3 linked regions of the Macaca mulatta genome follow. The protein of the gene in region 2 purifies or fractionates together with the protein of the main gene of each other region. This does not show direct contact. Links are inferred from orthologs where the notes say so. Each region holds a gene or a part of one and is shown on either strand. Other genes may lie near its edges.

Region 1 (3,746 bases), on a different chromosome or scaffold from region 2:
CGGGATCCTGGAGTCTACCCTGCCCGGAACTCACGCGGGCCCATGAACGCAGCACGCAGCCCCGGTTCCCGCCTGCGCCTGTCCCTCCACACCTCCCCACAAGCAGAGGGAGCTGGCTCAGGCCTTGGCCAGCCCAGAGAGGGGCTCCCACAGTGCAGTGGTGGGCTGAAGGGCTCCTCAAGTGCCGCCAGGGTGGACCCCGAGGTCAAGAAGGTGCCGAGAGCACGAGGGCTGCTAGCACGTTGTCACCTCTCACTATTACATGATCAGCTCCATAAGTAAAAGACCTGTCTTACCTGCACATTCTCAGCACAGAGCTCAGGTATTAAATAAATATTAGGGGAACTGGTTGTACTTTTCTACCAGCCCATAAATGGGCATCAAATACTCAACGTGTTAAAATTATTTGAAAATCAGAGTAACTAGTTTGCTGACTTCTAGTGTGCAGCCTTTACGCCAGCTGTTGTGGCTGTGTAGGGGTCTTTTCTTCCATCCCTATTCTAGGATGCATTCAACATAAGCGAAGTGTTATTACTCACAAAAAGTGCTAATATGTGGACGGATGCACCTAATGTTTTTGTCCCCTGGTTTCTTTGCACTAAAACCAATCCCAATAGCATTCTGTTTCAAGTGAAAGGTTTTTATTTTTTTTTAAACTAAGTAAATTGCTTTTTCTCCCAATTTACTCACAGCAGTACCTTACACTACAAAAACCAGCAACTGGTTTCCTCTTAATGTCTAAACATAACATTGTTAAAAATTAGAGACTTTGTCACAATTTGTATTTTTTAAAGGTAAGGTAAATAAAGTATCTTATTATACAGAATTACAAGGTCTCATTCTTGTACATTTCGCTATTCCCAAATATTCTGCAATCAGAACCCTGATTGCAAAACTAAGTACATGGGTTTTCAAAAGACACCGGGCCAGAGAATTCTTTCATCCTAGTCCCAATCTCGCCCCTGAAAGCGTGGGACAGGAAAGGCTGCGCCACGGGATATAAATGAGGGCTTATAAGGCCGTCGGAGGCCGCGGGGCTCGGGAGGCAGGCAGGACCCAGCGTTGCATTGCAGAGTCGAGACGACCTGGGCTGCCGTGACGCCGCAGTCGCCGGCCTTAGTTTCCCCCGCCCTGCCCGAGCGCGGCCGCGCCTCTCGCTCGAATCCGGGTACCGCCGGCGACTCGGGTCGGTCCCTTCCGGTTGGTTCCGGTGTCTGGCCTGACATGCCGGCGCTGCGGCGGCTGCTGCTGCTGCCGCGGGGGCTGCGGCTTGGGAAGCTCCGCGCTTCCGCAGGCCTGGCCTCCGCTGCCCGGGCCCACGCCGCCTGTTGCTGGACCCCGCCCCGGCCCAGCGCACTACCCTCGGGCCCCGGGCCCCGCCCTGGCCTCAACCTCTCCTCCAGCCCCTGTTTGCGGCCCGCCACCGCCGCTGCCGCCAGCCCATACGCGCCGCCCGCATGCGCCACGACCATGGAGCGCGCCGAAGCGGGTGAGACCTGGCTGTCCAGCGGGCCGGGGCGGGGGCGACAGGAGCCGCGGGGGCTTGGACCCGCTCTGCGCTCGACCTCTGGGAGGGCCTGACCCGCGCCGGCCCTGCTCCGAGTCTCCCTCCTTCCAGAAAGGACTCAGGGTAGCACCGAGGAGCCTGGTGCAACCGAGTGTACATCGGTGTTGCCTGTAGCGAAGCGTTTTAATGCACGCATTGTGGGTCCGACAGGAGGCGGGGGTATGAGCCCATCCCCGAGTTTCACTTTTCTTTTTCCCTTTCTCATCCTGTGACCCTTTGCACAAACTTAATGCCAATACACATTGCTTTTGACGGTGTCGATGTGAGTAAATGTAAACAAAACCTAGTAAAATCTCGATTGTATCTTATATCACAAATATTAAGCACCTGAACCACCATACTGTCTCATTTAGGATTTTCTGCCAGGTTTGAACATGACCAATTTTAAAACTGGCGCCAAGTCTATACTAGCGCCCGGGATGAAATTCCAGTTTGGGTCAGCGTTTGTTGTGAATTGAACTTTGTGAGTGGAGCATGTTAGGGGTTGGACTTTCGGTAAAAGGGACCGCAAACCAATTAGAGAAAAGGTGCTCCTCTGCAAGATTTTCATAGGATAAACTCATACAAGAGTATAAAAAGCATAAAAACGTTAACGTGTGCTATATAAATAGCAGTTAACTCATGTAAATATGTTTACAATTGTTAAGTGAATGGAGTGATGACAGTGAGTTTTTGCAATTAGGAAACGCATGGGAATGGAAATTGTTAAGGAGAAAAGAGCCATACTCCAGTTCCTTAAGTGCCGTGGCCTTGCAATTCAGGATCCTGTTAGCATATCTGTATATTTTCTATACTCATATAAAGTTTAAGATGTTTGTGGAGGTTACTTCCTCCTTTCATCCATTTTCGGACATTATTAACTTATTTTGTCCATTTCTCCTCAATAATTTGGATTGTACTTTTGTTCCCTTTTTATGAGGAGGAAAGGAAAGCCTGGAGGTCAGGTAACTTGTTGATTTCTACGCAGCAGTCAACATTTACTAACGTGTAAGATGTTAATACTATTTTTAGTAGCTAAGCCAGGACTAGAATGGATGCCTTTGGCCCTTTCTAGTTGTTCTTAGGAATAAACTTATTTATTTGTTTTTTTATTTAGAGACAGGGTCTTGCTCTGTTGCTCAGGTTGAAGTGCACTGGCGCGATCATGGCTCACTGCAGCCTGGATCTGCTGGAATCATGCCAACTTCCTGTTTCAGCCTCCCCAAGTAGCGGGGACTGCAAGGTCCGTGCCAACATGCCTGACTAATTTTTGTATTTTTTTTTTTTTTTTTTGTAGAGACGGGATCTTGCCATGTCACCCAGGCTTGAACTCCTGGGCTCAAGCAGTCCTCTCAGAGTGCTGGGATTACAGGTGTGAGGCAACTTGCTCAGCTGGGATAAATTTACTATTTACCTAGTTGAGTGATGAGAGACTTACTTAGCAAAATTGAGTAGTCATTTATTATCCAGATAGGAAACTTGCATTTTGTGTGACAGTGGGCGACTGTCCATACCCTTTTTACACTCGCTCTGTTGCTCAGGCTGGAGTGCAGTGGCACAATCTCGGCTCACTGCAACCTGCGCCTCCCGGGTTCAAGCAATTCCTCTGCCTCATCCTCCTGAGTAGCTGGGACTATAGGTGTGTGCCACCACGCCTGGCTAATTTTTTGTATTTTTAGTAGAGATGGGGTTTCACCGCGTTAGCCGTGATGGTCTGTATCTCCTGACCTCATGATCTGCCTGCCTTGGCCTCCCAAAGTGCTGGGATTACAGGCGTGAGCCACCTTGCCCGGCCCTGTTGGCCTATTTTTGATGAAGTCATTTGCTTCACCTATATTTTAATATTAGCATATATTTAAAGGTATGGTTTTATAATGTACTTAAAATGTATGTATTGTTTTTCTTAGAAAGGTAATATTCAATTTTGAAACGTTTGAATAGCAGAAATGAGAAACATATGAATGTATTCAGCATAGTTGTCAGCATTTACAAGCAGTTTATACTGTTTAGCCTTGGCCACATAGGTGGAAGAAACTTACCTTGAGTCTCAAATGAGACTTTGGACTTTTGAGTTAATGCTGGAATGAGTTGACCTTGGCGGACTATTGGGAAGAGATGATTATATTTTGCAGTGAGATTTAGGTGGCCAGGGGCAGAATGATAATAGTTTTTATGTTTGTCTCCTCCAAATCCCATGTTG
Region 2 (3,646 bases):
AAGAGGCACAGCAGGAACAAGAAGTCGTTTCTTGCAACTATTAACTCCAGTGATGACTTGCATACAAGGCTATGGGCTCAGAGTGTATGGGGAAAACTTTCAAGAAGAGTCGAGCTGCACTTTAAAGAATGGAAGAGCCTTAGCTATGCAGAAAGAGAGGAGAGAAAAAGTTTGTCATAAGCATGAATATTTCAGAAGTCTCTGAACCCCAGCAGAGATGCCTTCAGCAGCAGCGGCAGCAGCAGCAACTGAGAATACAAGTTCTAGAGTCCAGTAGACCTGAGATGGAATTGCCCCATCCCATGCCTCAATGTGACCTTGGAAGAGCTGTTTAACCCTTCCAAGCCTCAGTTTCCCCTTCTCTGAAATGGAAATCATCATAGCACTTGCCTTAAGAGCAATGGTTCTTAAAGGGGACCCCTTTCCAGCATCACCGTTGCTGGGGAATTTGTTAGAAATGCAGATTATTGGGCCAGGCACGGTAGCTCACAGCTGTAATCCCAACACCTTGGGAGGCCGACGCAGGTGGATCACCTGAGGTCAGGAGTTCAAGACCAGCCTGACCAATATGGTGAAACCCTGTCTCTACTAAAAATACAAAAATTAGCCAGGTGTCGTGGCGTGAGCCTGTGATCCCAGCTACTTAGGAGGCTGAGACAGGAGAATTCCTTGAACCCAGGAGGCGGAGATTGCAGTGAGTCCAGATCGCACCACTGCACTCCAGCCTGGGCTACAGAATGAGACTTTTTTTTTTTTTTTTTTTAATGCAGATTCTTGCTGGGTGCGGTGGCTCACGCCTATAATCCCAGTACTTTGGGAGGCCAAAGCAGGAGGATCGGTTGAGCCTAAGAGTTCTAGACCAGCCTGGGCAATATAGTGAGACCCTGTCTCTACAAAAACTTAAAATAACTAGCTCTTGAATTTTTAAAGTTTTTAAAGAAATGCAGATTCTCAGGCCACAGTATCACTTCCTAAATTGGAAACTGTAGTGTAGGCTCAAGGAGCTGTTTTACAGGATGCCAGCAGGCACTCAGCTTTGGAGGCCCCCACCCAGTAGGACTGTTGGATGGAGAAAGAAGCCTCATGGGCTCCCCAAGTTCCAGACCAGCTTCCCACCCTGTCCTTGTACCCCTTCCTCCAGGTGCGGTTCCCTTCCCACTTCAGCTCTGACTTGAAGGACCTGCTGCGGAACCTCCTGCAGGTAGATCTTACCAAGCGCTTTGGGAACCTCAAGAATGGGGTCAATGATATCAAGAACCACAAGTGGTTTGCCACGACTGACTGGATCGCCATCTACCAGAGGAAGGTGGGTCTCCCCTCCTTAAGCTGCTGAGGGTTTGGGAGCAAGCCGCGAGTCAGGGAGGACAGCCAATAGAGAGAAAGAGAAGAGAACACAGGTTCAGGAGCAACCTAGAGTAGAGAGCTTAGAGCAGTGGGGTCTAGAAATGGGATTCTGGGGTCATTTGGCCATTCCATGACCTTGTGCAGCAGATGCCTCTCTGGGAAATAATTTCCCCTTTGATGAGTTGGCTACATTAAGAGTTTCAGGCTGTTAAGAGGAATCCATAACCTAATGGGAAGCACAGGCCTGAGTCAGAGTAAATATCTCTTGAATGTTAGGCCATTCGCATTTATTGTTGTAATAATGATTATGTTGAATGCTGAGGTCTGGGTGATTCTTGATCCCTCTCCAGGTGGAAGCTCCCTTCATACCAAAGTTTAAAGGCCCTGGGGATACGAGTAACTTTGACGACTATGAGGAAGAAGAAATCCGGGTCTCCATCAATGAGAAGTGTGGCAAGGAGTTTTCTGAGTTTTAGGGGTGTGCCTGTGCCCCCATGGATTTTCTTTTCTTTTTTTTTTTTTTTTTTTTTGGTGGGGGGGTGGGAGGGTTGGATTGAACAGCCAGAGGGCCCCAGAGTTCCTTGCATCTAATTTCACCCCCACCCCACCCTCCAGGGTTAGGGGGAGCAGGAAGCCCAGATAATCAGAGGGACAGAAATATCAGCTGCTCCCCCTCATCCCCTTTGCCCTCCTGCCCCCTCCCCCACTTTTCCCTTCCTCCTTCCCCACAGTCCCCCAGCCCCTCAGCCCCACCCAGCCTACTTCTGCCTGTTTTAAACGAGTTTCTCAACTCCAGTCAGACCAGGTCTTGCTGGTGTATCCAGGGACAGGGTGTGGAAAGAGGGGCTCACACTTAACTCCATCCCCCACCCACACCCCCATCCCACCCAACCACAGGCCCCACTTGCTAAGGGCAAATGAACGAAGCGCCAACCTTCCTTTCGGAGTAATCCTGACTGGGAAGGAGAGATTTTTAGTGACATGTTCAGTGGGCTGCTTGCTAGAATTTTTTTTTAAAAAACAACAATTTAAAATCTTATTTAAGTTCCACCAGTGCCTCCCTCCTTCCTGTACTCCCACCCCTCCCATGTCCCCCCATTCCCCAAATCCATTTTAAAGAGAAGCAGACTGACTTTGGAAAGGGAGGCGCTGGGGTTTGAACCTCCCCGCTGCTAATCTCCCCTGGGCCCCTCCCCGGGGAATCCTCTGCCAATCCTGCGAGGGTCTAGGCCCCTTTAGGAAGCCTCCGCTCTCTTCTTCCCCAATAGACCTGTCTTCACACTTGGGCTTTGAGAGCCAGACAAAGCAGCTGCCCCTCTCCCTGCCAAAGAGGAGTCATCCCCCAAAAAGACAGAGGGGGAGCCCCAAGCCCAAGTCTTTCCTCCCAACAGCGTTTCCCCCAACTCCTTAATTTTATTCTCCCCTAGATTTTAATGTCCAGTCTTCCCTCAGCTGAATGGGAAGGGCATCCCTGCAAAAGGGAACAGAAGAGGCCAAGTCCCCCAACGCCATGGCCCGGGGTTCAAGGCTAGAGCTGCTGGGGAGGGGCTGCCTGTTTTACTCACCCACCAGCTTCCGCCTCCCCCATCCTGGGCGCCCCTCCTCCAGCTTAGCTGTCAGCTGTCCATCACCTCTCCCCCACTGTCTCATTTGTGCTTTTTTCTCTCGTAATAGAAAAGTGGGGAGCCGCTGGGGAGCCACCCTATTCATCCCCATATTTCCCCCTCTCATAACTTCTCTCCATCCCAGGAGGAGTTCTCAGGCCTGGGGTGGGGCCCCGGGTGGGTGCGGGGGCGATTCAACCTGTGTGCTGCGAAGGACGAGACTTCCTCTTGAACAGTGTGCTGTTGTAAACATATTTGAAAACTATTACCAATAAAGTTTTGTTTAAAAAAAAAGTGTCGCTGGTGTTCTCGACTTCGATCACCCACCCACACACCCCCAGGGGGTTGGAAAGGGAATTTCGGACCCCAGAGTGCAAGCCGATCAGGTCCCGGCTTGAAGTCCTTGTAAACAGGGTTTAGCTGAAATTCCGGCACTCCTTCGGCCCCGCAGGAGAAACGAGCGTCAAACTGCCCTCTGACCCCAGATTCGGGATCCCCAAATCTGCAGCGCGCCCCCTCGGCGTCCAGCCCGGGACCGAGAGGGCGCTCTAGGGAGGCGCTGGGGCCGGCGCGCCAGAAGGCCGAGCGGCAGCGGGGGCGGCCCTGGCAGGGGGAGTAGAAGGGGGAGAGGGTGCGCGCCCCCCTCCCCTCATCCTTAGCGCCGGGCCAGGCGCGCCTGAGGGACGCGGGGGCGGCGG
Region 3 (3,622 bases), on a different chromosome or scaffold from region 2:
AGCTGGTGGCTGGCCCGGGCCTGCAGCTCCTCCTGTGCCAGGCTCTGCAGCTCATCCCAAGGAGCCAGGTCCTGGGAAATTCTCCAAGCCCCGCGGACTTCACAGACCTGCTCTGTGAAGGGGACTAGGTGAAAGTTGGCATAGCACCTCCTCTTCCTCCATCCCCTCATGGTGATGGGGAAGGGCAAATGCCAGGGCTGACTGCTACCTGGTCAAACTGACACCATACCTTCTCAGAGTCTACAGGGGAAAGTAAGGAAAGGGCATCCCAGTGGGACCCTAAGAGTCCTGATGCCCTGGGGCCTCTCACTGGCCATGTGACCTGGAACCAGGTGCCTCAGTTCCAAGCCTCAGGTCCTCATTTGCAAAGTGAGGACAGTAGTTCTGCCCCATAGGGTGGGGGAGTATTCAGTGAGGCCACAGTTGGAACCACCTGTCACCAGGTCAACACTGTTCAGCTCAGGTCTTCCCAGCACTCTGTTGAGGTGGGAAGAACCGTGGACTGAGTTGGGCAGACCCTCGTGTGAGTCCCATCTCTGTGCTGGGGCCAGTCTAGATTTGGGACGAGTCCTTTGTCGCTGTGTTCCTCGGTCTTCTCCTTGCAGCGGGGATTTCTGTGCTTTGGAATGCGGCAGTGCTGTTGAGGTGCAGGGGTCCCCTCAAAGCTTGAGCCAGGTGATCCTTAGTTCTTCTGCCAGGAGCTTTGTTCTCTAGGGACATGGAGTGCTCTTTCACACTCATCTTTAACCTCCACAGCTGTGATACTTCATCTTTTCTGGGTCTCAGGCCCCTCGGTGAATCTGGAGAAAGCTGTGGTCTCTCTGTGGAAAAATGCAGACATCCAGATACATGCCCTCATTTGCACACAGTGTCGGAGGATTTAGGACTGATGCCCCAAACATATCCAGCGCCCCATGTCAAGAACTTCGCCCTGCAGCAGGAGGTCAGGTTGGGAGTAGAGGGGCAGTGGCCACCTCTGAAAGTCGTTTTGCTTGGCTAAAAACAAAGTCCACACCGTCTGTCCCGTCCCCAGTGTCACAGATTGCACATAAACTCCATTACCTCCAGATGGAAATTTTCATGTGGTAAGAAATCGATATTTTCTCAAGGCCACCACACAACACCTATTCTGAAGAAGCCACTGGGGAGCCGGGCTGTGTGTGCTGGGCGTTGAGTCTGTTACAGCCTCTGGCACTGTTGGCTAAAGGTGCGGCTCCAGAAGCCTTTGGTGTTTCCAGCATGGGGAGTAAGCTGATCTCCTTACCCTCACCAAGCCCTGTTCAGAACAGATTCCCTGTCAGGCTCAACTCTGATCAAGAGGGGCATTCTTGCCACTGCTGGAGTTTGTGTTGGACAAGAAAAAGTCTGAAGGAAGAGCCACCTTTCCAGTTGCACCTGAAAGCCAGGGCTCGCCCGCCCCTCCTGGGAATTTGGATACACAGGGCATCTGTCTAGTACGGTGCTCCGGGCGTCAGCGTCGGCAGGGACCTCTGAAACCATCCCACCCAACCAACTCCTGTCCAGGCAGAATGTGACTTGCCTGGGGAACCAGGCTGGGCTATTCCACCAGCTGAAGGGCAGGCAGAGGAGAAGCAGCATGCCCGCGGCATTTTCTTCCAGGCCATTTGGAGCTGGCTCTAAGAGCTGCTGGGTAAAAACCTGGATTTGTAGAACTTAGACCCTCCTATGTGGGTCTGCCTGATCAGGGCACAGTCCCTTCCCACAGCTGCTTCCCACAGGGCCTAGGAAACTCAAGAGTGCTGGGCAGGCCCAGGCCTCTACCCTCCCAGTGCCATTGCCCTCCCTGGCCCACAGAGGTGAGCCTGAGGGATACCTGGACAGCCGGGTGACGGTGCAGAGCTGTGGTGTCTTCTGTGAACCGGCATAGCGTGCTCTAGTCTCTGCATCGCTGTCAGGTGGTGGCTTAGTGGGGCCTCAAAGAGGTGTTGTTGAAGCATTATTTGGCTCTGGGGTGTGTGATGGGTCAGGTGGGCCCTTGGTACCTCCCTCTGGTCTGGATGCTTCAGACCTCATGTTGTCCACATGTCTGAGCCCTTTGGGGTGGGGCTTATCCTCCCTGCACTTGGCTTTCACACGGCTCTCCTGGACATCTGTGCCCCTAATCATTGCATTCTTTGCTCTCTCCTCAGTGGTCGTAACCCACAAAATCCTTCGGAAGGCCAGAGGAAACCTGGAGGTATGCCCTTTGAGTCTTCACTGTAGGCCAGTGGAAGGTTGGGAGGGGTGCAGGGCCAGAAAGGACCTCTTGAAAAATGAAGGTGCAGGGGGAACCAGGGGACATGTCCTCCTCAGAGAGTTGTGTGTTTCTGCCAGCAGTGCATGAAAAGTTGTGTTTTATCATGCCCTGTCGTCAGTGGGGGTTCTAAGTTTTAAATTTGTATGCTATTTTTACCAGTAAGAAATTCAGCAAACAATGCTTGGCACATAGTAGGCATTTGATGAATATTTCTTGAATGAATGCAGTATGATCTCATCGTCATTTTATTCGGTAAATATTTACTGACTAAACTATGTCTTTGAAAGCACTTTGAGAATAACAGTCTTGCGTTTACCTCTGTCAGGGGTCTTACTTCAGAAACCTCCACTGGACTTAAAATTCTCCTTTTTTTTCTTCCTTTTCCTAGCTTAGGCCCGGGGGAGCCCATCCAGGAACATGCAGTCCCAGCAGACCAGGCTCCTGAGAAGAACTTGCAGCCAATAAAGCTTGTGCTTCCCCACTGAGCTCACGCTGTCTCTTTGTTTCAAGTGTGGTTCCTATTTATTGAGGAAGAAAGAGCTGTCTGGCCAAAGGAAATCTTTTTTTTTCCCTTCATGTTTTCTCTCTGAAAGTTGGCTTGAGAGTTGTTGTCAGAAAGGTGCGGGTGCTCCACAAACGGGTGGTAAAAAGGCCTCGAGCTCTTGGATGTCGCATTTCAGATCTGGGGCAGGCACCGGAACTGAGGCTGTGCGCCTTGGTGGGCTTCACGTCTTCCCCTGGATTTGCTTAGTACTCAGCCAGTGCCGCAGTTTGAAGATTCTCATTAAATGATTCATTTCATTTCACCTTGACGATTCTGTTGTTTTGTATGGAGCCTCAAAGCCCAGGTCCCAAAATCCCAAGTGGGACAGGCCAGGGTTCCACGAGTCGCGTGGCTCACTGCTGAGCTCGCTCAGGTGTCCAGAGAAGAGCACCTCCGTGCAGCGTGGCTGTGGGCACTGGTGTGTGCTCAGCATCTCACAGTCTGCTGGACAGCAGCCCTTGCAGTGGTGCCATTCCCGATTTAGCAAAGAGCAAAGTGAGGCCCAGAGCTGGGATGTGGCATTTGCATTGTGCCCGTGATGACAGGGGTGTGTCATCAGCCATCCACATCGCTGCCTCTGACCAAGATGCCCCCAGCCAAAACACTTTAGCGGCTTCCCACTACCCTCTGATCCAAGCCCGAGCCCCTAACAAGGTTTACAAGCCTTGCTGGCACCTCTGGCTCCTTGCCCATCTCGCCTCCTCCCACTCCACTCTGTGTTCCGGGCAAACCGAACAGTGTTCTCCCCAGCCTAACCCAGGCTGCGCCCTCTCGGACATGCTCCTCTCACCCTTTCTTTTTCTAGTTACCTTTGAATGGTC

The links.
Region 1: the proteins of PRKACA (region 2) and AKAP7 purify together in Homo sapiens (affinity purification with mass spectrometry; 4 studies listed by BioGRID and IntAct, with this or other methods). This does not show direct contact. The link is inferred for Macaca mulatta from reciprocal best matches to the Homo sapiens genes PRKACA and AKAP7.
Region 3: the proteins of PRKACA (region 2) and CDK5RAP2 purify together in Homo sapiens (affinity purification with mass spectrometry; 6 studies listed by BioGRID and IntAct, with this or other methods). This does not show direct contact. The link is inferred for Macaca mulatta from reciprocal best matches to the Homo sapiens genes PRKACA and CDK5RAP2.

What each region holds. Positions count from the first base shown.
Region 1 is NC_133409.1:36,176,852-36,180,597, forward strand, and holds the start of AKAP7 (A-kinase anchoring protein 7), read left to right. Parts: upstream 1-1,212; 5' UTR 1,213-1,224; coding exon 1,225-1,489; intron 1,490-2,843; exon of another isoform or gene 2,844-2,918; intron 2,919-3,746. UniProt on the Homo sapiens protein: Probably targets cAMP-dependent protein kinase (PKA) to the cellular membrane or cytoskeletal structures.
Region 2 is NC_133424.1:14,678,809-14,682,454, reverse strand, and holds the end of PRKACA (cAMP-dependent protein kinase catalytic subunit alpha), read left to right. Parts: intron 1-1,141; coding exon 1,142-1,306; intron 1,307-1,694; coding exon 1,695-1,820; 3' UTR 1,821-3,242; downstream 3,243-3,646.
Region 3 is NC_133420.1:37,812,674-37,816,295, forward strand, and holds the end of CDK5RAP2 (CDK5 regulatory subunit-associated protein 2), read left to right. Parts: intron 1-2,150; coding exon 2,151-2,197; intron 2,198-2,645; coding exon 2,646-2,702; 3' UTR 2,703-3,063; downstream 3,064-3,622. UniProt on the Homo sapiens protein: Potential regulator of CDK5 activity via its interaction with CDK5R1. Negative regulator of centriole disengagement (licensing) which maintains centriole engagement and cohesion. Involved in regulation of mitotic spindle orientation.